Linked DNA regions of Yarrowia lipolytica. The protein of the gene in region 3 interacts with the protein of the main gene of each other region in a pairwise test. Links are inferred from orthologs where the notes say so. Each region holds a gene or a part of one and is shown on either strand. Other genes may lie near its edges.

The links.
Region 1: the proteins of YALI1_A06672g (region 3) and YALI1_C30884g interact in a two-hybrid assay, tested with the Saccharomyces cerevisiae proteins (2 studies listed by BioGRID). The link is inferred for Yarrowia lipolytica from reciprocal best matches to the Saccharomyces cerevisiae genes SLA1 and LDB17.
Region 2: the proteins of YALI1_A06672g (region 3) and YALI1_B11083g interact in a two-hybrid assay, tested with the Saccharomyces cerevisiae proteins (2 studies listed by BioGRID). The link is inferred for Yarrowia lipolytica from reciprocal best matches to the Saccharomyces cerevisiae genes SLA1 and SUP35.
Region 4: the proteins of YALI1_A06672g (region 3) and YALI1_C18892g interact in binary tests that used the Saccharomyces cerevisiae proteins (3 or more experiments, as listed by UniProt). The link is inferred for Yarrowia lipolytica from reciprocal best matches to the Saccharomyces cerevisiae genes SLA1 and RRP7.

Annotation. Positions count from the first base shown.
Region 1 is NC_090772.1:3,084,335-3,091,580, forward strand, and holds YALI1_C30884g (uncharacterized protein), read right to left. Parts: upstream 4,120-7,246; coding exon 2,473-4,119; downstream 1-2,472. Other genes in the region: YALI1_C30859g (uncharacterized protein), read left to right, coding at 1,581-2,204; YALI1_C30901g (uncharacterized protein), read left to right, coding at 5,854-6,624; YALI1_C30910g (uncharacterized protein), read right to left, coding at 6,646-6,750, 6,804-6,944. UniProt on the Saccharomyces cerevisiae protein: May be involved in protein-linked oligosaccharide phosphorylation since the deletion reduces the negative charge of the cell surface.
Region 2 is NC_090771.1:1,105,427-1,113,058, reverse strand, and holds YALI1_B11083g (uncharacterized protein), read right to left. Parts: upstream 4,682-7,632; coding exon 2,495-4,681; downstream 1-2,494. Other genes in the region: YALI1_B11120g (uncharacterized protein), read right to left, coding at 534-923, 979-981; YALI1_B11111g (uncharacterized protein), read right to left, coding at 1,350-1,499, 1,560-1,779, 1,833-1,942. UniProt on the Saccharomyces cerevisiae protein: GTPase component of the eRF1-eRF3-GTP ternary complex, a ternary complex that mediates translation termination in response to the termination codons UAA, UAG and UGA.
Region 3 is NC_090770.1:663,683-672,878, forward strand, and holds YALI1_A06672g (uncharacterized protein), read left to right. Parts: upstream 1-3,611; coding exon 3,612-7,076; downstream 7,077-9,196. Other genes in the region: YALI1_A06634g (uncharacterized protein), read right to left, coding at 1-122; YALI1_A06640g (uncharacterized protein), read left to right, coding at 343-1,461; YALI1_A06666g (uncharacterized protein), read right to left, coding at 1,832-2,932; YALI1_A06721g (uncharacterized protein), read left to right, coding at 8,501-9,196. UniProt on the Saccharomyces cerevisiae protein: Component of the PAN1 actin cytoskeleton-regulatory complex required for the internalization of endosomes during actin-coupled endocytosis. The complex links the site of endocytosis to the cell membrane-associated actin cytoskeleton.
Region 4 is NC_090772.1:1,885,869-1,892,381, forward strand, and holds YALI1_C18892g (uncharacterized protein), read right to left. Parts: upstream 3,424-6,513; coding exon 2,659-3,423; downstream 1-2,658. Other genes in the region: YALI1_C18872g (uncharacterized protein), read right to left, coding at 1-1,397; YALI1_C18878g (uncharacterized protein), read right to left, coding at 1,915-2,001, 2,045-2,179; YALI1_C18901g (uncharacterized protein), read left to right, coding at 4,311-6,134. UniProt on the Saccharomyces cerevisiae protein: Plays an important role in the synthesis of 18S rRNA but is not required for the 5.8S and 25S pathway. Is necessary for the cleavage at site A2. Is required for efficient association of RPS27 with the pre-ribosomal particle.

The DNA.
Region 1 (7,246 bases), on a different chromosome or scaffold from region 3:
CTCAACCATCCCTAACCTCTCACTCTTCCTCTCACTCTTCCTCTCACTCTTCCTCGACCAACACCCGCAGCCCCCTGAGAAGGTCCCATCTGCCCGCGCTCAAGCTCAAAATCGCCTTCAACCGCCAGTATACTACGCCTTCATCTTGAAACAGATCTCGTACTGGAGAAGATGGCTGTCAGGTATTGAGGTCGAAACGACCGAGCTGGCCACTCGACAGCCACCCGACAGCCGACCGACTGCCACTCTCTGGTCAGTGCGATAGCTATCCCACTGCTCCTCAAGACTAACAACACCAGATGACGTCTCTGCTCTTGAGTCACTCGTCTGGTCAGAAACCCTGAGACAGCTATTCGCTTGAAGTGGCCATCGATAAGGTAGTCAAAAACAATGTGCAGTTGAAGCAGCGCCATCCAAGCTGATTTGGACTCCGATGCCGGAAAGGCTGCTCACAAAAGTTCCTACTAAAGAGGATTTGGAGCCTGGATGGAGGATCGTCGTAGTGGACGACAAGGACGGTTATGGGATCGAAGAAGAGCAGAAACTCGAAGGGGAGAAGGATGGTGACAGCAAGAGTGATGCCGAGGTTGAGTCCACGATAGACTACCGTACTCCAAGTTTGAGGCAGACTACCCCATTCCTCGAATGACCAACACGGTGGGGAAAGCAGCACCAAGAACCACGAAATCAAGATCCACACGTCGAGACCGGCGATACCAGGGCGCCGTTAGACGTCCTCAAGATCGGCCTAGAAAGTACCCTCTGGCTACAAAGGCCTAATTCATGTATTCATAGCATTTTCTTGGAGTTAAAGAGAGGAAGAACTCCATGACCAATTCGGCCACCCCAATGGTACCAATTCGATAATCCTAACGGTACCAAGGACCTTGCACTTCTCTCTCGTATGGCAACGTCTCCGTCTCCAGCCATCAGCTCCTCGTACTACAGGAATCAGGGGATCAGGGTAGTAGTGTGCCACAGCGAGTGGGCGTCGATGAGAAACTTCCATGGTGGGACATCACACAGCTGCAGGCCCATAGTGACCCAGAAGGTGACACGAGGTCAAATTGCACCGACCACTACGTTAACCCTCATGTTGTGTCCTGGGTCGAATTCGATGAAGGAAAGACACGAAACGCGAGCCAGGAAGAGCTTGACACAGACTGAGGCAAGAATGAGACGGGGGATTCTCTGAGGCAAGAATGAAGCCGGTATTTTCTCTGAAGTCTCGTCTGTCGGCCGAGAAGTAGTCAAGTTTCCCGGTCACGGGCCGCGGGCATGGAACATGGCGCTCCCGATCCATGAGTTCATTCCATCAGCGCAAAGCCGTTGTAGTGGGGGATGAGTGGGTCGGGTTTTCTCTGATTGAGGTACCGGAGGATCAGCCAGCGCCGGTAATGAGACATCAAGTCGTCCGAACCAAAGACTACCGACACTGATTCCTGGGAGGCTGGAGAGATAGACCGGAAATCACAGCCAACGGTGTCGGCAAGTCTGTCACTGTCAGTTATATACTGCCTACATAATGTGACTGCTACGATGACTTAAACCCTGGTCGACTAGTCCCTACTAACGGCAAGATGTTATCTTCAATCTCAGCTTTGGCGAACCCAACAGTGTTTCAACCTCTCCCGAGAGCCATTGACAGAACCAGAATGGTTAATACCACTTGGCGTTGGCGTCGGTACATTGAAGATCTCCATGTGTCGGGGCCGCCCTCGATGAGAGCGCACTCCACATGCCAGCCACCTCCTCGGTGGTGGTCAATGTCTCGGACCTTGGTATTGCGGCACTCAAACTGGGGCCATAATCGACATGAAAACAATACCGCCTTTGTTCCCGCTCTACAGCGTTTCTTCAGGGCTCCAGTAAGCAGAGACCTTTCACCAATCAGTTCTGAAGCAAATGATGTATTCGTTTTGAACTCGCAGAGGGCTATCGATCGGTGTGTTTCTCATGTCTCTTCAACCACTTTAGGGCTCAGAAATGTGACACTACCTAGCCCTCCATTTGCGACACCAGATCGAAGTCAGACCAGAGACTGGCCGCCGCTACTCGTAGATACTACAGTACTTGTAGTACATACTCTGATTGATCTAACAGAAACCTTCCTGGCGACGGTTCTACAGCTACTCACTCCTCTAATATTGTTGGATTGTGTTTTGAACTATATACAGTATTGTGGTAGTATAAATAGATGCTGATTTGGACTCTGTTATGTCCTCCTGGTCCATTTCCTTTTACTTGCCTCACATAGACCCTCTTGTCAGTGTTGTGTACTCTTGCCATTGTCAAGACTCTTACCAAATGAACGGTGACAAGACTCTGAGATGATTCAATGGTATGCGAGCCCTGACTCCATGGAACCATGGAACTAGAGTATCACAAGACCAGCCTCTATCTCTACCTATGACCGTCCCTCAAGGATGATTGCCTGGTCATACTCATGCTCTGACCCAATAACTCCATCTCCTACTCCCGCTCGGCAACACTTAAATCTCCCACGCTGGTATTTCTGATACTCATGTCGAGCAGTTTCTTTCTGCTGGGAGGCAGCCGCGGCTTCTCCTTCTTGTCCTTCTTGTCACGAGACTCCTTCACGTCCTTCTTCGGCGCAGGAGAATTCCTGCTCGGCGGCGGAGGAGGAGCTGGACTCTTGACCCGTGATATTTGCGGCATCGGAGACTTGCCTCTAGACGGAGGAGGAACGGGAGGCCCCTTGGACGACGCACGTGACGGTGGAGGCGGTGGCGCAAGCTTGAGTGAGGAAATGAGCGATGTGGTGGATGACATGGCCGAATTGGTGCCCAGAGAACTCTGACTAAGTCGCCGAGTACCACTGAAATCGGTCATACCAATGCTGGGCACTCGGATCTTTGAGGGGCTCTCCTCCTCGTTGAACGAGCCGATAGAAGAACTGGGAGAGGGGGGAACGGTGCTCATGGGAGACGGGAACGTGTACTCCAGCCACGGGACTCCGAGACATCTCACAGCCAGTCGTAATGTCGTCTCTGATACTGGAAGGAAAGTACTACTTCCCTTGTGACCTGAAAGCATCTCCAACACATCAGTCAGACCCTCAATCTTGTACGGCTCGTGTCTGATTTGGGAGTTGACCATAAGTGGGTGGAGAACTCGCAAATACGTGTTAATGAGCTGCTCTTCGTCATTGGGCAAGTCGTGGAGCTCTCGAATGAACACGTCGATGAGCACCAACAGATCGTTTGTGTAGAAATACTCATAAGTGGGTTCATTCGTGAACAACAAATACAACAGCTTCAGACCCATGATCTGAAGACATGTATCTATCGCTCGATTCAGTAACAGCACCAACTTTGCGCCAAACTCCACGTATCCGTCGATATCTAGGGAAATCAGATCCAGCACTTTACTCGAATAAATCCCCGACTCTTCGTCTTCATCGTAAGCTGCAATCATATACTGCTCATTGAGACAGAGCAAGACTTTCATGACGGAAGCGTCGTACAGCGAGGTATCGTCTCTGTCTGCGTTGACAACGGTCCTCAAGAGCGAGTCGATAAACTTGTCGGAAATGTTTTCCAAGTCTGACGTGGAAATTCGCTGGATTTTGCACATTTCAAACGTGAGCTCGAGCAACACTCTTCTGAGCCGTAAAGCCGACGTCTTCTGAAACGTCAGCAAGAGCCGAGTCAGCGCATGGCATGCGTTTTCCTCTTGCATCATTTCCAGAGTGGCGGGATGCGAATCAGAGTCTATGAGCAGAATCAAAGACACCACCGCCGCCAGGTCTGTGTATTCCTCTGCCAACGTCAACATGGCGATCAATTTGCGACGGGTGAAGGCTTTGTGGAGCGTGAAAATCGGAGAAGTGGTCAGCTTGTATCCTGCTCGAAAGAGATCGTTGTCGGAGACGAGAAAATCAGATAAATGTTTAGTTGCAAATAGGAGGTAGTCCTTCAGTGCCGACTCGACCACGGGATATGAGTGGGTCTTCACAGAGACTATATCCAGCAGTTTGGTCCAGAAGTCCGAGTCCGACATGTCGCCATCTTCTTCTGGAGGAATGGAAATGTCCGGTGCAAGAAGAGGCTCGTCTGAGACGGAGCTCATGAGACTTTCCAGTAGTGTTTCCATCATTGGATTGATAGAGTGAACCGGTTAGCGATGATGGGCTGTCTGTGAGCTGAGTTAGTATGGCGGTCTTAGCTGAGTTTGACCTTTCCCCTTGAGATAGGGCATATTTACTCACCAATGATGGACCGAAACGAATGTGGTCAATGTTGTAGTTTAGTGGTCAGTGTGGTCAGTGTTGTAGTTTAGCAGTCCGTGCTCGACGTGCAAGTCACAAATGGCTTCGTCTCTCTCTCTCTCTCTCTCTCTCTCTCTCTCTCTCTCTCTGTTGGGAGTCGATCACCTCGGTCTTGCTCAAGTCTCGACGTGATCCAAGACGGGATATCACGTGATTTCCAATCAATTCAAACCAATGGTCAAATCACGTGCAACGCGCCTGTTGATCTGGTCGTCGTTGCTGTTCCTAAATGCTCAAATGTCGCCGCGGCAGTATCACGTGGATGTAAATAAACAGTCCCCAGAATTCCACGGCTGTTCTCGTCGGTTGCTGGTCGGAATTGGCGCTCTTGAATGGTTTCTCCCCGTATATCACTTGAATGGGTCTCTCTGTCTCTCTCTCTCTGTCTCTCTCTGTCTCTCTCTCTCTCTCTCTCTGGAGCCCCTGGTCTTTTTGTGCCGGTTTTTGATCCCCCGCGCCGTGTGTGTAAGTGGTTACTGGTATCTGAATCTGGGAAGGGCTGTATCTTTTAGGACCCAATGCCCCCACCTCCCAAATGCACGCTCTTTCTAATCTGGGGTGATGGCAAAGTTTATTGGGGAGCGAATGGAGCAGTAAGGGTGGTGGTAAGGGTGGTGGTAAGGGTGGCGGTAAGGGTGGCGGTAAGGGTAGTATTCCGGTAAGGGTAAGGGTAAGGGTAGTGATCCGGATCGGGTAGTATCCCGACCCTGATACTGCCAATAATACCTAACCCATGTTCTTTTCTCTCATGGCTTCACTTGCTCCGAACTCCCGCTACTTGTACATATCCCAATATGGTTGCCCTTGCAGAAAAAGTTTCAGCGAAAATTGGCGTGAGGTATTAACATGGTTCGGGGAATTTAAAAATAGACCGTGGGAGCTGGCCCGGCCGAGAACGGGACGTTTGGACGCCTCAAAATGGAGCTGTCGACGAGGCGAATCTCGTGATATGCTTGGTTTTTCTCTGGCTTCGATTTTGGTCGATTCGACACCCTTGTCGGACAAGTTTTCAGGTCCGATGCGGATCAGGCGGAGTTCTCGAGCAGTTTGAAGGGTCACGTGATGTAGAGGCAGAGTTTAGTAAGGGGGAGTTAAGGGGTGGTTTAGAAAGGCCATTAGTGTTGTATTTTTTGTTTCTGTCAGTTCTTGTCCCTGGCTAATGAGTTGGGCGGTGGTGGAGTACAGTACATTGTCAGAAGCACAGGTTGTGGCTTGTTGTCTGGGGGGTGAGAGTTGGTGAATGATTTTGGGATTATTGCTTGTTCTTTTGTGACTTGAATCTTTTCTTTTGCAATCAAAATCTTCGTTCTTGATGGAGTTATATCGTTCCGTTCCACTCAACTACCCCAACTACATTCCTCCATTTTGTTAACTAAATTCATCAAATCCCCAACTACGTTCTTTCAATTTCCAACTAATGTTCTCCTTTATTCCAACTAGATTTCTTCATTTTGTCACCATCCTCCGAATTTCCAACTAATTCCTCCAATTCCCAACTACATCATCCATCATCCAAACGTTAATCGCCAACCTGATGCACACCACTTCAACTCTCCAGCAACATGTTCAAACGAAAGAAAAACGCGGGACAGAAACGAACCACCATAATCGACTCGGATTCGTCGTCCGAAGGCTCTGGAGATGAATCCGCGCTTTCCAGCGCCTTCAAACGCAGAAAAAACGATACCCAGAAACGCACCACTCCAACAAGTGTTGCCACCTCCACCAAAGTGAGAGCTCCGTCTTTCTCTTCCACCATTGACCATTCCCATTCCCGCAACCTATCTAAAACTGACGAAGCAACCAAGGAGACAATCCTGTACGCCAAAGACGACTCGGATGACTCGCAAAAGTTGTCAAAGGGCCCATACAAAGTCCCCTTCTCAAAACCCACTACCACTACCACAGTAGGACTAAAGGCTTCGTCCAATATCAAGAGCACCACAAGCCAAGATTACCAACCGGACGTGTGTAAAGACTACAAACTGACGGGATTCTGTGGATACGGCGACTCGTGCAAGTTTCTGCACATGAGAGAAGATTACAAGGCAGGATGGCAGATTGAAAGAGAATGGGAGATCAAAAACAGAGAGGATGACCCACCACGTGATGCCGGAGGAGTGTCACGTGACGCAGACACCGCTACCTCGCGCGCCGACTCGGGTATACCGGATACATGTCCCATCTGTCAGGGGGAATTCAAGAGTCCGGTTGTGACTCAGTGTTGTCACTACTTTTGCGAAAAGTGTTTTCTGGCCAAGCATAAGAAGAAGCAAAACTGTTTTGTGTGTGGCAAGAACACCAATGGTGTTTGTAAGCCCTTCAAGCGGTAGGAGGGTGTGTATTATATGTATTTATTGAGCAAATGACTTGCACTGAACCAATTGCACAGTTACTGTCTGTATCTCTCCAATTGAGAGATTATGGAGCATCTTGGAGCCTTCTATGAACAATGTTCTCTGGGGATTAGCGGCCTTCAGACCTCGAATCGTTCAAGTCGGAACTCTCAGACGAGTGAGATGCATTTTTGAGACTCTCTGCGAGGATAAAGAGAGGAATGTATGAGAATAGACGTTCCTACCCTCGATGAGATTTCCACTAGTTGACAAGTACCAGAGTCCTGTCTACAATCTGTACAGCGTGGAACCATCATCTAGTTACTTATCTATATATCTAAGTATTGTTATCATATTACTTGAGATTATACTTACCACCGTACGGTCAAGAAATGCTGACATGTGTCTACCAATCGATGAATATGTACCCGATAAACACCATTCAAAGTGCATATTGCTCTTGTAGGCTCCTCAAACTGTTTTACGCCTTACCAACATCTCCAGACACATTCCTTCAGATCATTTTTGGGGAGATCCCTATCTCGACATCCAGGACCAGAAACGACAGACGTAATCACCACGAAACTCATCGCTTGTACAATATAGGTACAAGTACAAG
Region 2 (7,632 bases), on a different chromosome or scaffold from region 3:
ATAGGTTTGGTTGCTGTTTGGGAGACGGGAAAAGAAATGCGCCTTTGTTTGTTTGTGTGTGAGTGACGATAGGGTAAGTCAGGGGTTGTGTGTGGGGGACCGCGCAACGGCGCTGTTTGTGTCACCTCACCACTCGTGTATAAATACGCGGTCTTTTCCCCCTGATTGTTGGAGGCTCCGGGGAGCTCTGACAGGCGCTGTTTACAAGCTCACTGCACTTTAAGTTATATATATCGCAACATGCATGCATCCTGCACTGCGATATGGGGACTGGAGGGGAGGATGACTAAGGAGCGAGCTGGGGTCTGGTCGTCAAGTCACGTGCTGGGAGAGAGGGTGGAGGGGGGAGGAGGTGTTACGGAAGAAGAAACGCCGCCAATTTTCGGTCTAGTCACGTGCCCTTGTGGGTGGTGGCACGGTGGGTTGAAGGGGGGAGGTTCTGTTGTCTCTTTAAAAAAAAGAGTGGTGGAGAATTACGCATGAAGTCTGAGTGACCTTTCAGTGATGACGCAAGAGCAACCTTGACGGCCTATCTACAGTTGCTGTCTACAGCACATTTGGTGGGCAAAAGAGGCAACCGAGTTGCCGTTTTGGAGCTGATCGTCGGTCATGTGATGAGTGAAGGATGGATGAAGGATGGGTGGAGGGTGTGAAATGGCGTTTTCGACGGTGAAAGACTGGAGATGATGATAAGACTGAGGTCTTTTCGAGACGAGATACCTTCGAGACGAGACACTTCCGGGACGAGACACTTTCGAGACTCGAGATAGGGCTGTGAAACAAGTCTCAGCAAGGGACTGACTCAAGAAGGAACGCTGGAATGACGCCTGAGGTCTCGTATTGGTGCATCCAGAACTTGCACGGTATGCTGAATCCCAGGTGCGATTCTGGGCTTCTCCAGACCGCCAGACCTGTTCAGACTGCTCCAAACTGCCCAATCAAGTATCTAGAGCACCCTGTCATCTGGTGAGCTCTGACCATCTGACTGACACTAGCAGCACGAGTTGAGTACTGCATCCGCAAGCCAGCCCAGATGGCGCACTTTCCCTTACAGATGTCAAGCCCAAGGCCAACACTGCTAAACCCGAGTCCTACTACACAACTACTGCACCCCACCAACTACACTATTGGACCTGGGGTCTTGCTAAACTCTGGGGTACAAGGAAGACCACCAGGAGTTATATTGACGCTGCTCCATGGTGCTCCAAAGTGGTCTTGTTTGACTCTGTTTGACGCATTGGATCCACACTAATCCGCTAAGAACAAACTACTGCGGCGCTGGTAGCGAGTGTAGACCCACACCAAATCGCTATAGCTCGCTATAGCTCGCACTAGAGACAACCAAGTGGCTATCGCTCATTCCAAGTGGCTATAATGCACACTACAGAGCCTACATGTCTCCTTGTAGCCCGTGTGTTTGTTCCATAGCCAAGCTCGTGTCTCACGACCCTTAAACTGCTAAAACATTTCTCGGGGAAACGATAGTCGGGTATTTGGGCCTGTCTTAAAGCGCGTTAGCGGCTTCTTGGGCGTCTGAAATGTATCTTTTTGATCGCAACTTGGCCAACCTGACATATTGAACTTGTAGCAGACAGAGCTATAAGTGAAACAGTGGCTTGGTCCAGAGTCGGTCGGTTGTGTTGCTGTATAGGAGCACAAGGGAACCCTTGGTTGATGTTAGAATGGCTGTAGTTGGTCCCGGGACTCGGAGTAAACAACGTGACTTCAAGTTGGACCCACATCTGTTGACATACTGTTCCAAAAATGTCCGTCAGTTGTCTGCAGTGGGGACTGTCTCATCAATAGATTGAAACGCCAGTCAAGTGGGTGACAGAGTGGAGTAGTTGAATACAACCACGGCCTGGAATCCAGAAACATGGTACTGTAAGTCTTCTGGGGGTTTGAGCGACTCGCGGACTCCACTAGGTAAAAACTGTCGCATGTCTAGGTATAATGGACAGTTTTAACGAAATAGTTCAATAATAGTATTGTAAGAGATAGCAAACAGTTGACCCATCTGTTCAGAATCTTGCCCTGATTCCTTTTATACCATTATCGCACCCTCTCACCACACAAAATTCCCACCTATAGGTGCATTTGTCAATGGAAACAGAAGGAACGTACAACCAAGGAGAGACGCTTTCCAGATAAAAATAACATATCAATGTGTTCAGAATCGCCTCCTGATTCCATTGGTGTCATTAATTCAACGTTTTGTGGTACAAAAGCTCCCGCTATGACCCGAATTCATGTTGGCCTGGGACATGAAGGGTCATCAAGAAGTACAGCACCTTACTTGTCTGAAACTGCTGAACGTGACCCTGGATGCCTCCAGCCATGGCCTATTCTACTCTACACAGATCCATCTGATAACAGTAACCTCCTAAAACAGTAACATTCATTACTAACACAATTTTTACATTCTTCCTTATTGGACCGCTGGCACGAAAAACCTACGGGCAGCGGCGGCTCGTCACGCTCGCAGATGAGCTGCTTACAACAGCTTGGTAACTCGACCAATGGCGATACTCTGACCCTGGTCTCGCAGAGTGAACCGACCCAGCTGGGGAGTCTTGCTAAACTCGTCCATACAGACGGGGTTCTGGGTCTCGAGCCGGGCAATGATCTTCATGCCCTTCTTGGCAAAAGCCGGGGGCTTCTTGGACTTTCGGTTGGTACCCTTCTCCAGCTTGTGCAGCAGAGCAGTAAAGGTGACCTCCTCAGCAGCGGTATGGATGTGCATCACACAAGAGAAACCGGTCGACAGAATCGATTTGAGCTCGGTGATGGCAATCTGGGCCTCAAAGACGGTGACGGCAGCAACGGGTTGGGCGGCAGAACAGAGAACCTGTCCAATCTGAACCTCCTCCTCTTCAATGCCCTTGACCTTGAGTCGGATCTGCTCTCCAACAGACGCGCCGCCAACCTCCTGCTCGGTCTCCTTGTAAAGGGTGGTGACCTCGACGGGGACCTTAGAGGGCATGACGACCAGGTTGTCGCCCTTCTTGACGGTGCCAACCTCGATCTTACCCTCCACAATGGTACCCAGGTTCTTCTCCTTGTTGGAAATGGGGAGCATGAAGGGGCCGGTGAGGTTCCGCTCGAGCTCAAACGAGTCAAGCAGCTCCAGCAGAGAGGGGCCGTCGTACCAGGGGCACACCTCCTTGGAGACTCGCTCCTTGACGTTAGCGCCGGTGAAACCGGACACGGGCATAAAGGTGATCTCCGTCTTGTCCGAGTAGCCCAGACCCTTGAGGTAGAGCTTCAGCTTGCTGATACACTCGTCGTATCGCTCCTTGGACCAGTTGACGGTCGAGTCGTCCATCTTGTTAATGGCAATCACCAGCTTGTTGATACCCTGGGTCTTGGCCAGCATGGCGTGCTCTCGGGTCTGACCGTCTCGCTCGAAGCCGGTCTCGTACTCTCCCTTTCGGGCAGAGATGACGAGAATACCGGCATCGGCCTGAGCGGCTCCTCCAATCATGGAGGGCACGTACATCTTGTGGCCGGGGGCGTCGAGCAGAGTGTATCGTCGCTTGTCGGTCTCAAAGTACGACCGGCCCACCTCGACGGTCTTTCCCTCGGCTCGCTCCTCCTTGTTGATGTCCATAACCCAAGACAGGTACCAGCCGGGTCGTCCGGCGTCGGCAGCCTCCTTCTCCATCTTCTCAATAGTTCGCTTGTTGACGGTGCCGGTGAGGTAGAGGATCTGGCCTCCCAGAGTGGATTTGCCGACATCGACGTGGCCCATGAAAATGATGGACATGTGGTCCTTGGTCTCGCCAAACATTTCCTTGATGGTTTCCTGGTCGATCTCGGCGTTCTGGGCGGCGATCAGGGCGTCAGCAGAGGCAGCGTTGGCGGCAGAGTCGTCCTTAGCGGGAGTGGACTCCTTCTTCTCAGGGGCCGGAGTAGACTCCTTAGAGGCAGGAGCGGGGGTAGCCTCCTTCTTCTCGGCAACAGGAGTGGACTCCTTCTTCTCGGCAGCAGGGGCAGGGGACTCTTCCTTCTTGTCCTTGTCTCCGCCAATCTTGAGAACTCCTCCGGTCTTCTTCTCGGCGGGCTTGTCTCCTCCAATCTTGAGAGCGCCGCCCGAAGTCTTGGGCTTGTCTCCTCCAATCTTGAGGGCTCCTCCGGAAGACTTGGGTTTGTCGCCTCCAATCTTGAGGGCTCCGCCAGACTTGGCAGCGGGCTTCTTGAGCTTGTTGAGAGCCTCCTGTTTCTGCTTCTGGTACTCCTCCAGCGTGAGAGTCTTCTCCTGGGGCTCCTCAGGCTGGTCATAGCCCCCTCCGTACTGGTTGTCGTAGCCGCCGTAGTTGCCGTACTGATTGTCGTACTGGTTGTAGTTGTTGTAGCCACCCTGGTATCCTCCTCGGTAGCCGCCCCGACCTCGACCGGAATAGCCGCCTCGGCCCTGGTAGCCCTGGTAGCCCTGGTTGTAGTTGTTGCCCTGGTAGCCACCCTGGTAGCCGCCCTGGTAGCCGCCCTGCTGGCCGCCGTACTGGTCGTAGCCGCCCTGGGGAGCAAAAGACTGGCCGGGAACAAACGCCTGGCCGGGCACAAACGACTGACCGGGCACAAACTGCTGAGGAGCGTAGCCCTGGCCCTGGCCCTGACCCTGGCCCTGGCCCTCGTTGATGTTGGCCTTGTTGGCAAAGTCCTGGTTGAATTGATCACTCATTGTGTGTGTCGTGGTGAGTGTTGCGTGGTGATTCTCAAAATTATGCTGGGTGGTTTTTCAAAGTGCAAACCTTAACTCAGGGTGAAAATTTTAACCCTAGCCCTGGGGAGTGTGGGGGAGAAGATGGAGGTAGGTGGAGGGTCGATGGGGAAGCGGACGCGGTTTGTTTTTTTGGGTCGGGTCCGTTGACACGTGACAATTGACACGGTGTGACATTCGTGGTGTCCTTTTGGGTGCATTACGTAAGTAACTGCCGTGTGTACTGTGCTGTGCTGTGCTGTGCTGTAGCTGTGCTACCTGGACACACTGATTTGGTGTGTTTTCAAAGGGAGATATATGTTGGTTTTGAGTGAGGAACCAGGGTGAAGATGGGCGAGAATTGTATGACAAATTCAGTTCTGTTTTGCGATTTGTTGTGGGATTTTTACAGGAAAAGTCGGGAAGATGTTTTGTTTTGAATGATGATGGCGATGAGTCAGCGATTTGTGGGCTTTTGAGAAATGATAGGGGACTGGCAAGTTGAATAAATGAGTAATTTTAGTATAGGGATTCGAGTTATTGTTCCAGATTTGTCAAGGGTCATCCACAGGAGAAGCTAGGGTGGTTTTGTAGTCATTTTTGAGGAGGGTTGGATTTGGGGTGATTTGGAGTGATTTGAGAGATTCTATGGAATAAAAAGATAGCAGTTGAGAGAATGAGGCCCTGAGACTCGAATGGTACTGTTTGGATACTCTCTGGGTATCTCTGGTGGGTGATAGAGACATGTATGTTGTTTATCCCTCTGAGTATTGTAATGGAACTCATTTACATACCCCAAGGGGGATTATGAGAGCTGGTATTGTGAGTGAATGACGAAGTAAGAATCGATTCAAGGTCTCGGTTTCAATATAGATTGGATTTTGAGCGAGCTGGGGAAGATGTGGTCTGATTTCTGTACTGGGGTGAATTTTTGGCAACTTATAATTTATGACAGAGAAAAGCTGGAGGGTTGGGGAGTTGAAAGATAGATCAAATGACTGACGGGGAATTGATTGGAAGTTTCTGAATTCCCATATCTTTTCCGGTTAAAAAGATGGACATTTCATATTATTGTCTACGTTCCATGTTTTACAGAAATGAGGAGTGGGATCACGTGAACGATAGGGGAGTGAGCACTCGTGAATAAGAAGTGAATTTAGATCATAGATGTAACACATTTGCACATATGGGTGTAGTAATTGTGCAGTTGGATTGGATCTTGTGCATTGTGATTGTTTAGTTGGGCATTTGTTAGACCTTGTTCAAACTTTGTTGAATTGTAAAGTAATATATTCTGAAAGGATCAGTGGAGATATCACTGAAGAAATTATATAATATGGCTTGAAAGTGAAGGGGATAGCCTGGACCATAAGAAATATGTGCAACCAATAACTACTATCCTGTTTTATATGATCTGAATCAGACAACGCGGGGACTTCCTGTTAGTTTTTAGTTGGGGAATACTTACGTGAAGTGGAAGGGAGTTGGGTACAATTTTTTCACCCAAGTAATGGCAGAAACAGCTTGAAAGGTTTTATTTCAGATATCTATCAACTCGGTGACTTTATATATCTATTAAATCCCGACTTTTCGATACATGAACCTCGCCTGATCCACAGTAGTAGGCTGAAACGCATAAGATGGAGTTCAGAGTACACCCATCACTTTTGCCAGGGTTTTAATGGATCCGATTTGGCCTAAACTTGCAATTACTCCAGAATATGGACCGTGGGAGACCCTCATTGTACGGAAACCATGTCCTGGACCTCTACTCCTCCAGTTCGGAATGATTCACGTCCAGCTCAGGCCGAGACTTGTCGATATTAACGAGTAGAGTGAAATTATCAATTCTCACTATTCTCTTGAGTCCACCTTTGCTGATACAATGCCATTACTTGTTCCCCATCCTCTGGTACTACTGGTTCTACTGGTATTGCTGTATTGTTGGTTCCGGAGTAGGAATACCCTTGGTAGAAGGGTCAGAGAACTGAATTGTGGACAATCCACAAACCAGCCTCTGATATACACATCTGTGTCAGTTTGAAAACTCGTCGAGCTGTACTCTTGGCTTTGCTTGAAGTTCGAGTGTTTAGCATACTAGAGTGGACTTGTGTGGTCGCAACTGTCTCATTACTAAGAAAAGTAGGAAACGGGGCTAATAAACGAGTTGTAGCTGTTGTTTCTAAAGTCCAAACGTCTCCTTCCGGCTCCTTTTCTGTCATTCAGCGTTTTGTCGGTTCCATTAGTCACTGGACAGACGAGACAAAACTACTCCCGAATAGCTCTCAATGTCTGTCGTGAATCGTATACTATTAGACGGATTTTGGACAGTTGTAGACGGTTGTAGACGGTGGTGGACGGTTGTAGACGTTGGTGGACGGTTGTGGACGTCTTGAAGAATCCTCTGGCTCCACAGAGCTCATGGCTCCGCTGAGACCTATGGTCTCCATTGTCAGTCGATAGTTAGACACGACCAGAGCAATTTGAGATTCATTCTCAGCTCTATCAAGACCCTTTAACAGGAAAATTCACTTTAAAACACACATCGACTCTTCGGAAGCTGTTCCAAGAAAACAGCAACATTCTTTATTGACGCACTACCGGGATTCGAACCCGCAACCTTCCCTGTCTTAACTAAAGTGCCAACTAATAGTTGATATATGCCGAGTAAATAGTTGAGAAAAAACGCGACCATTCTGAAGCCATTAACAAAGCACTGTAGAAGGAACCAAAACACCACGGGCACATTTGCCCTCCTCCCACCATCCTCGCGGACTAGTCCTCAATCTCCGACGCCACCAATGTAGCCCTGTGTTATGACATCACTTCCCGGAGAAGATTGGCCATGCTTCGTGATAATGTTTGTCCATCATGTGGCTGTGTCGTTCTAGTGAAAATAACCACGGACTAGAGATAATACAGGATCCACCACT
Region 3 (9,196 bases):
AGCGTTTTTACCGTGAAACAGACATGTCGTGGACTTATGGCTTCGCTTGGGACACCCTCAGACGGCTGTTTCTCCGCCGCCCATCTCCCATCTCGTCCTGTTTCAAGGTTGCAAGCGTGCATTATCAGCTGAAATGAAGCGGCCAAACTCTAAGCTCAGGACGCAGGTTGATCCGCGGCAGAGACCGGGCCAATCTTGTAGGCCCGATAAACACCCCACGCGATTAGAGCCAGGCAGCTAAGATATAAAGGTGAGCCATCCCGCAACTAGACCCCTCCTCCAAACGACACCAGTCACGACACTGACACCAAGCGCAGTCGCAACACTTACACAAACGACGACATGACAGCAGACACTCTCACGGCAATTCCTCTGCCCGACGCTCCTCTGGGAGCCACCATCCAGCTGCCCACCGGCATCACCGATCCGGCGGATCTGAACGACGCCGACTTCCAGAAGCTCAAGGAGGCGCTCATGACATACTCCGTGGTGGTGATCCCCGACCAGGCCAAGCTCAAGCCATCGTCGCAGTACGCCATCACCAAGCGAATGGATCCTTCCTGCGGAGAGGGAGCATACGGCCACTCCAAGGAGTTCCGACACAAGCAGTCCGTGCTGGCCAAGGACGGTCATTCAGTGCCCCACCAGCCCCAGGTCCAGATTCTCGGCCAGGGAACCCACTACAACCACGAGGGCGTCGACCAGCTGACCCTCACCCACCCCATCCACGACACCTTCCACAAGAACGTGCTCACCGACGAAGAAAAGGCCCAGGGATACACCCGGTTCTACCGATGGCACATTGACTCGGCACTGTACGGACTTTCCCCCCCTGTCTGCACCACTCTGCTCGGAATCGACGTGCCCCCTTCCTCCAAGCACCAGAAGGTCAAGTACACCGACACCGGCGACGAGCTCGAGCTGACCCAGGCCGCCACCTGCTTTGTGTCTGGCGCCAATGCATTCAAGCTGCTGTCGCCAGAGGACCAGAAGCTGGCTTTGGAATCTACCGTCGTCTACGCTCCCCACCCTTACATCTTCATCTCGCCTGCCAAGGCTACTGATGATGGTCTGACTATGGTCAGCGAGGGCAAGGAGATGGATCTCGAAAAGCTGCCCGAATGGGAGGAAAGCAAGGTCAAGCGACTGCCCATGGTCTGGACCAACCCCGTCACCGGCGAGCATCATCTGCAGGCCCACGGCTGTTGTGTCCACAAGATTGAGCGAAAGAACGGCGAGGTTTTGCAGCTCGAGGACGCTCGAAAGGAGTTGTATCGAATCATGCGACCCAACATTGATCCCAAGTACGTCTATGCCCACTCGTGGAAGGCCGGCGATCTGGTGCTGTTCCACAACCAGGGTGTTTGGCACTCCGTCACCGGTCAGTTTGCTCCTGACGAGAAGCGACTCATGCACCAGTGCAACATTGCTTCTGGAGTTGATCCCGTGTGCAACGCCTAATTTATGAGATTGATTTATGTATTCATGTAATAATTTATTCGTGTTAAGATGATAATGGGTACAGGCAAAAGTACATACTGTACTCGCGTAGAAAATCTGTTCCACATAACCCGTTTTTTATGGGTCTTTCTTCGACCATCTATAGTACTTGGGACGGACAGAAGTCTTCGTCCAGCTTATCGTGTTGACGGGGTCTCATGTCCACTTGGTGTTGGTGTTGGTGTTGGTGTTGGTGTTGATTTGGTCAGAAAGTTTCACTACAACACTCAGCGACCCGTGTTTGTAGAAACCACCAACGGCACGTACAAGTACGATATGATTAAATAATGCATTCTATGTTAATGTTGCGGTAGCTGCTACCATGGGACAATTAGGACTGTTCAGTGGACGCAGACGCAGACGCAGACGCCGACGCCGGAGCAGAAGCATCTGTTGTCGATGCAGACGCCGAAGCAGAAGCCTCTGCGGATGCAGGCTCAGTAGAAGCGGAATTGGACATGTCTGGAGGCTGAGGAGTTTCCGAGTCCAGCTTCTGCTTCTTTGCGTCGCCCTCTCCCTGCTCCTTAAGCTTGCGTTTCAGCAATCTCGCCTTGGTTTTCTCCACGTCACACGACCGCAGCTTCTTTCCAATCTCCTGCACATACTCCTTGGTCGGCTTGTCCACCTTTTGCAGCATGTCAACGCACTCCTGAACCAGCTTTGTGGTCAGGTTGAACTGCGCTGGGTCGCTCATCTTCACTCGCAAATACTGCTCGGTTATCTGGCTATTTGTGCACATCATGGCCGCGAGCGAGATTTGCGGAGGGGTAAAGAGGAAATTTGCGTCGGTTAGAAAGCTCAGAGACACGTACTTTCTGGCTCCATCGTACAGAGACCCGACTGTCGAGGCAGGAACGTGGGGCAGCGACGTCTGGATGTCGAGATAGAAGCCATGCAAGGGAGTGTATGCGCTCTGGGCGCTCAAAGAAAACAGCATCGACTGCATCACCACAAACTCGAGTTGCAAAACGTCCTTGGCCACCGCTCCAGTGTATTTGCAGAACTGGTTGATGGAAAAGAAGTGATTCTCGGCTTTGGTGGCCAAAAAGAAACACGTATGCAAGACCTTGACGGGGTCACTGTACACCATGACGGAGTTGATGAGGAAAAACTTTTTGAAGAAGAGTACAGCTGTTGCCTTCACTTTAGAAGGTAGATTGAGAACTTGGGCAATTCCCTCGCTCTGAGAACACATGTAATTGACCATGGTAAGTTCCTCGTCAACAGAGAGGATTTTGGCCATGGCGGGATCGAGATCCGCCGCTAGAAACGACTGTTTGACAAACTCGCGGCCGTTGGTGTTGGTTTGAAGCCGTCTAGCTGCCAGTTGCGTCGGCGTAAACGACCATTTTTTGAACTGCGACGATTGCCGGTAAATATCGTCGTCCGTGACCGTTTTTGTGGCCTTGGATGATGCTGTAGTGCTTGTCATTGAATGAGTATTGTAGTGTATTGATGCTGCTTAGTTCTGTTTCGAATCTTGATTCAGAATTATGTAAGCTGCGATGGGAAGGCTTGACCGGGGTTAGGGTTGGTTTCATTCTAAAAATTAAAAAAATAATTTTAGACGGTGAGACTTTAAACACGTGATCTGTATACAGCTCAAGTAGTACATACGGGTAGTAGCGCTAGTTGCAGCTGTACACCTTTGAAGAAAAACGGCGGGATTGTTGATAAGCTTAGTAAGCAAAACGAGCCGAGTCCGTTGGGTCCTCCGGTCGCTTATTAATCCAAGGGAGTGGAGTGTGCACAGCCCTGGGCAGGTTAGGGCTACATGCATGAGTTGCGTGGCTTTAACGATTATGTACTCGCACTGTACTAAAGAGGTTGGGGGCAGAGATGAGGTGTCACGTGTGTGGGGGTGTAGTTGTGGTTTGTTTTGTGTAACTTGAGACCGGTCGCCAAAAAGTATTTAATCTCTCTGTTTCCCGCGGTTTTCTGCTACCCTTATCGCTTGATGGCTTGTGCTCTGGTGCATCACTTTGTTGAGCCAATTCACTCACGCTGTATAGCTACTCCCACACACCTCCCACCACATAAGCTCACAACCATTGCTGTGCGCATCTGACAAGTCATCAACATAGCTCTGGCCCAGCATCGCGACATCGACAATGCCGTCTCTGTTCCACGGCGTGTACCAAGCGCTCTACGACTATGAGGCTCGTACGGAGGACGAATTGACCTTTTCCGAGAACTCGCTTCTCTACCTTTTGGAAAAGTCGTCGACCGACGAGTGGTTAAAGGCCAAAAAAGCTGGACCTGCGGGCACCAACGAAATCGGACTGGTTCCCTTGACTTACATTGAGCCGGCGCCGGCCAAACGACAAGCCTATGCTCTTTACGACTACGACAAACAGACAGAGGAGGAGCTGACCTTCAAGGAGGGAGACGCACTGACAGTCTACGATGACAGTGACAGTGAATGGTTGCTGGTGTGCCGCGGAGGAGACGAGTACGGATTTGTGCCTGCAAACTACACCGGCGACGCTCCGCCATCCGCGGCCCCTGCCCCCGTGGCTGCTATTCCCACGCCTGTTGCCGCCATTCCCACCCCCGCTGGCCAACCGACGACGCCCATCACCAAAGACTCACCACTACCTCCTCTTCCAAAGGATGCCTTCCCCCCGCCCCCACAAGCGTACCGACCGCCTGCCTCGACCACCCATGCGTCCACCGAGCCCGTCTACGCCAACGGACGGGACGAAGAGTCTCCCCCTCCCATGCCTGCCCGACCAGGCGGAAGCGGAAATGGAAGTGGACGGCCCTCTTCGGGAGCAGGCGACAGCCGAAGCCGAGGCTCGTCCGTGTCTCGATCTCGAAACGCTTCCTCTGCAAATGACAAGCCTTCCTCGTCTTCTGCCAACTTCTTCACATGGCCTGTCCAGGAGGTGGACGGACGGAAAAAACGAAAAGCGACTCTGGCGATTGGCAACGGCATGATCATGTTCTCCCCGGAGCGATCGTCCGGACAGCCCCAACAATGGCCAGTCAAGGATCTCGTTAACTACAACAGCGAGAAGAAACATGTGTTTCTAGACTTTAAGCACCCCACCGTCTCGTTTGATCTGCACCTGGGAAGCAAAGATACCGCTGACGAGGTGATCTACGCCCTTGGCGAACTCGCAGGAGCCTACAACTCTTCGGGACTCACCGAGGTAATGATGGCAGCCAACTCGGCCGGCCAGAAGCTCGGAAAGGTGCTGTACAAGTTTGACGCTCAGGGTCGAGACGAGGTGTCTGTGGAGGAGGGCGAGAATGTGTTCATTATAGATGACACAAAGAGCCGGGACTGGTGGATGGTGAAAAACTCGTCTGGAGTCGCTGGTGTCGTCCCCAGTAGCTACATTGAGATTGCGCCCAGCGAAAAGACCCTCAAAAAGGTAGTTGACCAGCAGAGGAAGGCCAGCGGCTCGTCGCGTGATAAATCACGTGACCGATCCCGTGACGACCGGTCTCGAGATCGAGCGGACAAGCGATCGTCTCGATCTTCCAGAGACGCTCCCAAGTCCAAGCCTGATCCTAGAAAGGTGCGAACTTGGACCGATCGGTCCGGTGCATTCAAGGTAGACGCCGCTCTGCTTGGATGTGTGGACGGCAAGATCCATCTGCACAAGGTCAACGGTGTCAAAATTGCCGTGGCCTGTTCCAAAATGGCCATTGAGGACTTGGAGTATGTGGAGGACGTGACGGGCGTTGATCTGGAGGAGGACAAGCCCCTTTCTCGAGATCGGGGCGGATCTTCGCGAGACCGACGACGGTCCACCTCTCGGTCCGACCGGCGAAAGTCGTCATCGGGAGCAGCGTCTTCTGCAAACGCTCCCAAGCCAACTCCCGAGTCGGACTACGACTGGTTCGGATTCTTTTTGGATTGTGGAGTCGACGTGCATGCCTGTCAGCGATATGCCACCTCGTTCACACGAGATCAGATGGACGAGTCGATTCTGCCTGAAGTGACTCCCTCCACTCTGCGATCTCTGGGTCTCAAGGAAGGTGATATTCTGCGAGTCACCAAAAAGCTTGACGAAAAGTACGGTCGAAGCGGCACTGGTACTTCTGCCAGCACTCCTGTGGGCGGCAACCCCTCCGGTGGCCTGTTCTCAGACACCACTGGTGCTCTGAAGAACAACACCAGCAAGACTCTTACCAAGGCAGACGATACCGATCCCTGGTCGTCTCTGGATAAGCAGCAGGCTCCTCCCCAGCAACAGGCGCCCCCAGTTCAGCAGCAGCCCCCCGTTCAGCAGCAGCCTATCCAGGCTCAGCCCACAGCTCCTATTCAGCAGCAGCCCATTCAAGCTCAGCCTACTGCTCCCATCCAGCCTGTTCGAACCGGCTCCATCAACGATCTGATGAACATCAAGCCTCTGCAGCCCACCCCGACATCTTCCAACCTGCAGACACAAGCTACTGGTGGTATCATGCAGCCCATCCAGCAGCAGTACACCCAGCAGCCAATGTCCCAGTCCACGAGTGCTCTCCCTCAGCAGAGCATGAACACCGGCATTCTTCCCCAGACCACTGGGCCACTACAACAGTCTCTTACCGGATCTGCTCCCGTGCAGAATCCTTTCCTAACTGGTGGTCCCAACACTCTTCTCAGTCAGCAGACTGGTGGGCTGGTTGGTGTCCCCACCGGCGGTCTTGTTGGTGTCCCCACAGGTGGACTTCAGGGCGTTCCTACCGGTTACACTGCTCAGAATGTTCTTGGCATGAACCAGCCTGCAAACACGGGCGGGTACTCCATGAATGCCATCACCAACGCTCTTGCCGGTGCTTCCCTCAACAAGCAGCAGCAGCAGCAGCAGCCCATGGTCCAGCAACTTACCGGAGGCAGCATGTTTGGCCAACAGCCCATGCAGCAGCAGCTGACGGGCTCCAGCATTTTCCAGCAGCAGCCCATGCAACAGCAGTTCACCCAGCAACAACCAATGCAACAGCAGTTCACTCAACAGCAGCCAATGTCGCAGCAGCTCACTGGTGGCAGCATTTTCAATTCTCAGCCGCAGCAGCCTTTTCAGCAGCAGCCTATGCAACCTCAGCAGACTTCCTTCCAGCAGCAGCAGCCCTTTTCCACTGGAGCTTCTGCTTCGCCGTTTGGAAGCCAGCCTACTACTCCTTTCGGACAGCCCCAGCAGTCTGCCGGTTTGAGCTACTTTAACAACATCCAGCCTCTGCAGCAGCAGCAGGCGTTTGGTCAACAGATGCAGCCGCAGCAGACCTTCCAGCCGCAGCAGCCTTTCCAGCAGCCTTTCCAGCAGCCTTTCCAGCAACAGCAGCAGCAGCCTTTCCAGCAGCAGCAACAACAGCCTTTCCAGCAGCAGCAGCAGCAGCCCTGCAGCAGCAGCAGCCGTTTGGTGGCCTGCAGTCGCAGCCTACCGGCTTTGGTTTTGGAAACAGCTCGTCACCCTTTGGAGGCATGCAGTCTCAACAGACCGGAGCACCTTCCACTTCTTTTGGTCAGCAGCCGCTACAGCCCACCGCCACGGGTCGTCAGCGAGCCAACCTGGCCTCTGCCACTCCTAACAATCCCTTTGGTTTTTGAGAGGCTATGTATGAATAATGTTATGATAATGTAATTGGCGACTTGTATGTGAATGGACGAGCTAATTGAAAATGTGTAACAGGTATTTTGATAACCAGAATGTATAATCTCATGTGACTTACAGTTGCTGCCATCAAGATTAAATAGATTAATAAATGATTTGTAACAGCAACAACAATAATGGGCATTTTTACTCCTCTAATCTCCAAACCGAGGTGTAGTTGCAGCAGTCAAAATTACGGTTTGGAAACAACATTAAGGTTTTATTGTCTAACAGAAACTGCATTTTGAAACTTTGGGGTCACGTGACCCGTGAGTCATGTTGAAACCTCCATTGCGATGTAGCCAACCCATCACGGAGCGGCATGGCGCAGCGGAAGCGCGCAGGGCTCATAACCCTGATGTCCCTGGATCGAAACCAGGTGCCGCTATGTTTTTTTTGCTTATGGGGGGAATCTTGTGGTTAGCGTGCTGGGTGTGGCAGTACGTCAAGTACATCCAGTAATGTCAGTGTGATTCACGAGTAGCCATTGCTGTGTTATAAATCGACTTTCGGAAAACCTGTGTAGACCAAAGATAGGCGGAGAGGTGTACTAGGGATGATTGGAGTCCAACTTCAGGATGTATTATACCTTGCAACCGTGGCTCAATAAACAGTAGCTGATGAGTATACATGTTGGCGAACGTCGGAGAACTCGCCTTGGCCAGAGGACCTGGGCCCTGTAAGATTTCTACTTGTAGTGCAAGGCTGTCAGTTGACCCAATTATCCTCAAAGGTAGTCTGCAATTCGTCATCTCAGACTGTCAAAGGTCAACAGGTTACGATTCCTGCGAGTATTGGTTCGTCCATCGGTCAATAGTAGTCACTTTGACAGTATGTTTTGTACTGTAACTGATGGTCGAGTTGTAAGCGCCAACCTCAGACTCTTTAGTTGAGGGCTACAAGTAGTTGGAGAGAAAGTTGTTCTGCGAAAGTTGAAAGAGCTCATGTAAAGAAGTGCTTGATAAAATGTACACTTGGGCCTTTCGAGTAACGTGACGGCCGAAACGGTACACTTTCTGTTTCACTATTCAGAGTTATTTTCGGTTTTGAAGTTGTTTGATGCATTGAAGTTATGCATTGTTAACTTGTTTTTAGTTAGATATTAGTTAGATATTAGTGATGTATTAGGAAAACATAAGTAGCCTCAACAGCATTTCAAACAAGTATTATGTGCATGGATGTACTGTACAGACAGTATGTACACTGTAGTAAGCCTTCAGCCTACAGGGACAGTGGTAAATGTGATGGATAACTGACAGAAATTGGCCATTCATTTCGTCTTCCACCCACTATCGGAACTCCATCTTCTCTACAGTCGCGATTTCAGTCTCAGCAATACATCACCACATGCGTCAAAATAAACTCTTGCAGAGACAAAATCACAACATCTGGTATCCTCACCATCACATCCAACAATGTCGGATTTCACACAAAAGGTGGAGAAGAAGTTTGGTGAGCTCGTGATCGAGCACTACTTCAAGAGCGAGCCGTTTGTGTACTCGTCTCCGCTCTTCAACACGATTGGCGACACGCGAAAGCTGTTTCCGGACCGAAAAAACATGTTTGATCGACTCTACGAAGACAACATCAACCGGGAATCGCTAGCCGAGACGCAAAAGCTGTTTCCTCCTTCGAATTACAACGACCTCGTCAAACTTGTGCGGCGGATCGAGACCGACAAGACCACAGAAACGCTCCAGGATGACCTGCAACAAAACTGTCTAATCTACTATCTGCTTCTGGACGCCAACCAGGAGGCAGCTGACGCCTACGCGACCGAGATTCTGCTGCCTGTGGCTTACAAGCATTTCATGAACGGCTGCTACGCCCTGGATCGAGCCGACATGAACACAGCTGTGGAGGAAATCACCTATCCAGGAACAGCTTCCACTTACCCTGACGCGGTTGTGCGGGCTCTCAACGCTCAGGCCGTTGCCCAGAAGAAGCGCCGCGAGGGCGACCAGCTCATTGTGCGGTACTTTGACGAGACCACACCGAAATGTGACCAGCGAGAGTCCGTGACCATCTACATCGCCTGCCTGGCGCGTCTGGACCCCATGATGGCTCTTACATACATCCGATCTCTCACGGCCAGCGCGCAAATGGGCGCC
Region 4 (6,513 bases), on a different chromosome or scaffold from region 3:
CCCTCTCTATCTCGTTTCTTGTTCTCGGCAAGATTCACAAATAGCAGAACGGTGTTTAGACCCACGGCAACCGCAAACAGCACCACCATGGAGACCTTGGCAGGCACGTATTCCGGAGCATCGTCGGCCCGGAAGGTCTGGGGACCAATGATGTTGCCGACGCAATAGCCCACCAGCATTATGGCGTTGACAGTCACTTTTTTCGTGTGTCCGGTTGTATTGGAGCCCACCGACGACAGCATACAGACCAGGCCAACAGGGTAGACGGAGAGCAGATAGAGGCCGGCTAGGCCGGCGGCTTGGATGTGGGGCAGAAACGCCAACAGACACATTGCGACTGTGGCAATCAGCTGGGCGACAATTGACCAGAACAGACGCCATTGGGTGTATTGTGCCAAGAGACCAAACAGCACGCATCCCACGATTTCCACCGCTCCCTGGGGGGTCTGGAGAAGCAGGCCTCTGACGGGTCCCAACCCCAGGGTTTCCGAAAAGAGAATGCTGCCAAAACTGGTGATTCCGCCATTGGGAATGTTGGAGGCAATAGAGTAGAAGAAGTAGAGCCAGGATCTGGGGTCTTTGAACGCTTCGATGAACTGGTTTCTTTTGAACTGTTTGTTCGCAAACGAGCCCTGGTTGGTTCGCACCCGGATGACCACTAGCTTCTTTTCTTCTTCGGTCAAAAACCACGCCTTGGAGGGGTCATCAGGGAAGTGGAACAGAATCAGAATCCCCGTGGCAATGGTGATGACACCAGTGATGATGAAAACGAGCTTCCAGCCATGGATTGGAAGATGGTGGTTGATGGCTAGTCCATAAGCCATCAGACAGCCAACAATGATCCCGAGGCCGTTGGATCCGACCCAGAAAGACGTCCGAAGAAACTGCTCCTCGCGCTTGTACCATTGAGACGTGATGATGACAAAGGCCGGCGTAACAGCCGACTCCAACATGCCCAGGAGGGTTCGCAGAGCAATGAATCCCGGATAGTTGGGGGTAGCATGGAGACACAATACTACACCCCAGAGAACGATGAAGGCTGAGAGAGTTCGGATGAAAGGTAGTCGTTGGAGCATGTACACGGCTGGAAACTCGAACACTAGATATCCCAGGTAGAAGGCCGTTCCCGACCATGAATAGTCGTTGCCCTCCATATGCAGGTCTGTTCTCAGACCCATAACCGAAGCGGTGGCATTGGTGCTCTTGTCCATAAATTGGACCGCGTAAACGAGCATCATGACTGGGCACAGATACATGTCAATCTTGCGCAGCAGTCGTTTGTCTGTAGCGGCATCCAGGGTGATATCGTTGACCTCTCCTACTTCCACGTCCAGCTTTTCATCTGCAGGGTCCGGGAACGTTTTTTCGAGCGATTTCGAGTCGTTGCACTTGCTCATTTTTCAGAAATGGCCAAAAGTCATCTTCAGCAACTCGCCAGAGATATATATACCCTTGTGTGGGCATTTTGTCTGGCAGTTTTATGATTTTATCCAGACACTAGCGAAAGCTAAACTGGATATGAGGGGTGTTGAGATGAGACGGTTGTGGAGACAATTTCGAGGTTATGAGTGGACCGTTGGGATGAGGAGATCAACCGCTTTCGAATGAGCCCAACATCAACGATGTATCTGTCGATCCAGCTCGAAAACACCACGATATCCGCAAACTTTTCCTTATCTAATCTACAAGGAACCTTAAGGACTGGATATTGCGCATTTTGGAGGGAGACAGCAGGACCAAAAGAGTCGGGGCGTATGTGAATCGGTCTTCAATTCACTCTCCTGATCTCTTGATGTCACTTTGACCCAATCCCCACGTGACTACCTCCTCACAGTCCCCAGTTCATCTCTTATCTCTAGACAGTTAACCTGATAGCTTAGTTAGGATTCGAAGATCAACTGTGGACGCCTCCAATCAGGCACACGGTTCCGCTGTGGCTTGCGCTGTCGGAGATATCCTACCGACGCTGGTTTGTGTTGATTTCTCGATATTTGACCCACACTGTTGCTCACTGTTCAGTCCACAGTTGGCTCAAAAGTTCCACCATCTGTTGATCAAAAGTGCATTCTGAGGACATGGAGATTACCAAACACCTGCTCACTTTACCCGCCACCGAGGCAGCCACAAACGGGCCGCTTTTAAAAACCAGTTGAACCCTGAGCCGCTGTTTTCGGAGCATTATCGCTCGCTGTGAGACGAGCAACAGTGTTCATACACACTGTTACACCGGATTAAATCCGTGGGTGAGAGATCTATTTTGAAACAGATCCGAGTCACACCAAAGATCAAGCTCTGAAACATCGTCGGCGTATTCCTATACGCATTGGATCATCATTGCCTCGTCCTGAGTCTCCATCCTCGAACTCCCCTCTTGTATCTACACTGCTTCATAACCAATATCCATTATCTATAACTGTCTGTTGTCTTTTGTATCCTCGTGGTACCGTGGTCGTAGTACCGCGGTTGAGCCACCCACACCATGCAAGCAGTGGCCATCAACTGCTCTCAGTGAGCAGCAAATCGTCAGATTAGACGTCTCACTTGTCTGAGGCTGTCAAAATGAAATTCTGTCTGAGGCTGTCTGAATGCTGTCAGAGGCTGTCTGAATGCTATCTGAACGCGGTTCTCAACGCAGTCTGAAGTGCTTCTTACTGCGCCCTAATACGGGTTGAACCGCCCACTCTCCTTGTACTGCTTGACCTTCTCCTGATCCTCCTTGAACTTGGTCAGCATGTCGGTCATCTGCTCCTTCTTGTACTCTCGGATCTGGAACCGGTAGAAATCCTTCTTCTCCCGCTTCTCTCGTCGCTTGATCTCAGCGAGCTTCATTTCCTCGGCTTGCTGCTTGGCGGCCTCCTGCATGGCCAACGACTTCTTTTTCTGCGTCTTGACCACCGTGGTGAATCCGTCGGCGTCCACCACCGTTCGGCCCGTCTTCTCCACCTTCTTCTCCTCCTCCTCTCGGGCCGCAAACTCCTCCATGAAATAGTCCACCTCGGCCTGCAAATCGTCGGGCGCAGGGAAACAGTACTTCCATAGCAACTGGTATCGCTGCTTGCCGCCAATCGTCAGCTTGGCGTCCCACTTGACTCCACATGTAGCATTCTTCTTGGCCTGACTCAACACCCGGTTGCAAGAAGCCGCATCCACCATGTGAATACGACCGCAGCCGCCAGAAAGACCATGTGTCAGCGACTCGGCCCGCACATTGCGACTCACATTCACCCATTCAAAACTCTCCACAATGCTGCCCCCCAGACTCTGACACAAGGCCTTGATGTGAGAAAGAGTCGAGTCCGCAGGCAGATTGCACACAAAGATCGTCGAGTCCTCCGACGCAGCAGAATTGTCGTCCTTCTTCATGTACAGATAGTGCGTGTTGCCCTTGGGCATTTTCAGCGGTAGAGTCTCGTAGCCGCTCATTCTGGTCGCAAAATGTTTGTGCGTGTATGTGTGTAGATGTAGGACGGGATTTTTTTTAGACGTGCATGACACATGTAAAAAGATTCACCGCAGAGGTTATGAGAAGGATGAGGGTCAAATTTTGGAAGGAGATTGTTGGGTGTGTAGGAGGGAGAGGGAGTTTCTGTAGTTGTAGATTTTTTTAGTTTTTTAATTTTTATTTTTTTATTTCTTGAGTAATTTTATTTTATTTTATTTTATTTTATTTTATTTTATTTTATTTTATTTTATTTTATTTTATTTTAGTTTAGTTTAGTTTAAGTTTATTTTAGTTTATTTTATTTTATTTATTTCTGTTCATTTATTTAATTTCCTGTTCATTTCATTTTATGTATTTTATTAGTTCATTTCATTTATTTCTTTTTATTTTATTTTATTATTTTATTATTTAAATTTCGTCCAGTGAAAAATCCCAACCATTCACTTTAAAGTAGACACAACTGCTAACAAAACCCAACCCCCAAAACTCCCCCAATAATGCTCCAAATTTGATGATTATTGCATCCACCACCACCGCCAGCTTCCAGCACTTCCCATCCAAATTTTCAGCCAAATCTACATATCCAAAACTTCACCAAAATGCCGAGGGTAATAAAACCCTAATTCGTTTAAGGTTCACGTATCCGACCTCCCATTACCTAATCCATATGCATCGTTTAAACGGCACTAAAACACAATTATTTCGTTACCATTGTATTTTTCGAACCGCCAGGATCCTAAAAATATCAATTTTGGCCCCAGTATCCCCAGAATTATCCATGTTTAGCCCTCACCACTTTCGGAAACTCTAAACCACCAACTACACCATCACCATCTTTTTCTGCACATCCAAAACACCACCGAACACAATGTACGACCCAGCGCGCGACTGCTACCAGGCCGAAGGAGAGTCAGCTGACGCCCGAGACGCCGCGGAAATCGCAGGCGGTGAATTTCTTGCTGACTCAGCAACCCCCGAGACCAAGTCCGACTCCACCAAATCCGACGGAAACGATCCCAAGCAAGAAACGTCGGAAACAAAACGACCAGCATACAATTACCTGCCAAAAATCGCCCGCAAGGAAACCACCTCGGGATCACGTGACGCGGCCTCTGCCAAGCCGCAGCTCAAACGACGGGAGCGCGAGGATGTGAGAGTGGCTGGCGATCGGGTTGCTCCTCGGGCCGACATGGGCAGCTATGTGGACTACAGTGAGAAGGAGTCACGTGAGCGGCAGGATCGGGATCGAGATTCACGTGACCATAGAGACCGAGACAGAGACCGAGACCGAGGCCGGGACAGGTACGATTCTCGCGACAGAGACAGATATGATTCCAGAGACAGGCCCCGCGATTACGACTCGCGCGACAGAGACAGAGACAGAAACAGGTACGACGACCGGGTACGTGACTACGACTCACGTGAGAGAGACAGGTACGACGACCGGGCACGTGACTACGACCGCGGTAGCCGTGACAGCCGTGATTACCGTGACAGACATGACCGAGAGCGAGAGAGATATGATTCGGGCGATTCGCGTGAGACCCGAGATGTCCGGGAGTCACGTGAGCGGTCGCTATCACCCACTCGCGAGCCAAAGCCGCACGATCCCGCTGCCCCTGCTCCCAGTAAGCAGAAGCGGCCTTCGCAGCGAGGAGGACGGGAGGCTGCTGCTGCGCGAGCTGCTCAATATCGTGCAGAGATGGAGAAGCGGGAGGCACGAGCGCAGGCTGCTGCTCAGCAAGGGGATCAGGTGGGCGACTCTCTGGTTCGAAACCATTACAACCAGGCTCCTGAGCGAGGTGTTGTTGCTCGTCAGTCTTCGCCTATTATCAAGCTGCGAAACTTCAACAACTTCATCAAGTCTGTTTTGATTCAGAAGCAGTCGCTTGGGTTTGGAATGCGTGTCATTGACATGGGATGTGGTAAGGGAGGAGATTTGAACAAGTGGAGCAGACAGCGGGTTCGCGATTACATTGGAGTCGATATTGCCGATGTGTCTGTGCAGCAGGCGTCGGAGCGGTATCATAACATGCAGCCTCGGCCTCGGTTCTATGCCGAGTTTCATGTTGCTGATGCTTTTGGAACCCCTCTTATTGACATTATCAATCCTCGAGCGTTTCCAGTCGACTGCATTTCCTCCCAGTTCGCCATGCACTATGCCTTTGCTACTGAGGAGCTGGCTCGAAGCATGTTGACCAACGTGTCCAACTCACTTTGCCGAGACGGCGTATTTCTGGGCACCATTCCCAACTCCGACAAGATTCTGGAGGGAATTGCCGGTGGTCTGAAGGAGAGTGAGCCGAAGGAGGGAGAGGAGCGATACGGCTACTTTGGAAACTCGGTCTACAAGGTGGAATTCAACACTCCTCCCACCAAGGACCAGGCCTTCCGACCTCCGTTTGGACACAAGTACACCTTTTACCTGCAGGACGCTATCAACAATGTCCCCGAGTACGTTGTTCCGTTTGAGGTGTTTCGTGCCCTGGCTTCCGATTACAATCTGGAGTTGATCTACAAGAAGCCATTTTTGGAAATGTTTGATGAGGAGGTGAAGAACGATCTAAACATGGCTCGATTGGCTGAGCGAATGAAGGTATTCAAGGAGGATGGGTCTCTGGGCATTGACGGAGACCAGCGAGAGGCTTGTGGGTTCTATCTGGCTTTTGCTTTTCGAAAATTGGGTGCGTGATGAGGCGTCTTCAGCGCAAGATATGTAAAGTATGAGTTAAGACCGTTGTCTATGTAGGAGGAATGAGGGGGTTTGTTAATATCAATCTTTTGGTTCCAATGATACCCACCGGGGACTTTTATGTTTCTTTCGGAATTCTGGTATCTTTTGGCGTAGATTGAGGCCCAGCTAAAGCTCCGAGTTTCCATCCTGAAGGCTCAGACTGATGACCCCCCGTAATCGCCATATTCAGAGCACTGGCGGTCTACTTCCCTGCTGTTGGTCAATCAAGTAAAAGTGGTTGGTGTTGTTAGGGTAGCGCAAGGTGGATGGTAGTTAGATATGACAACTAGTCGAAGCACAAACTGATGAAGATCCGCAAAAAGACCATATAACAGCA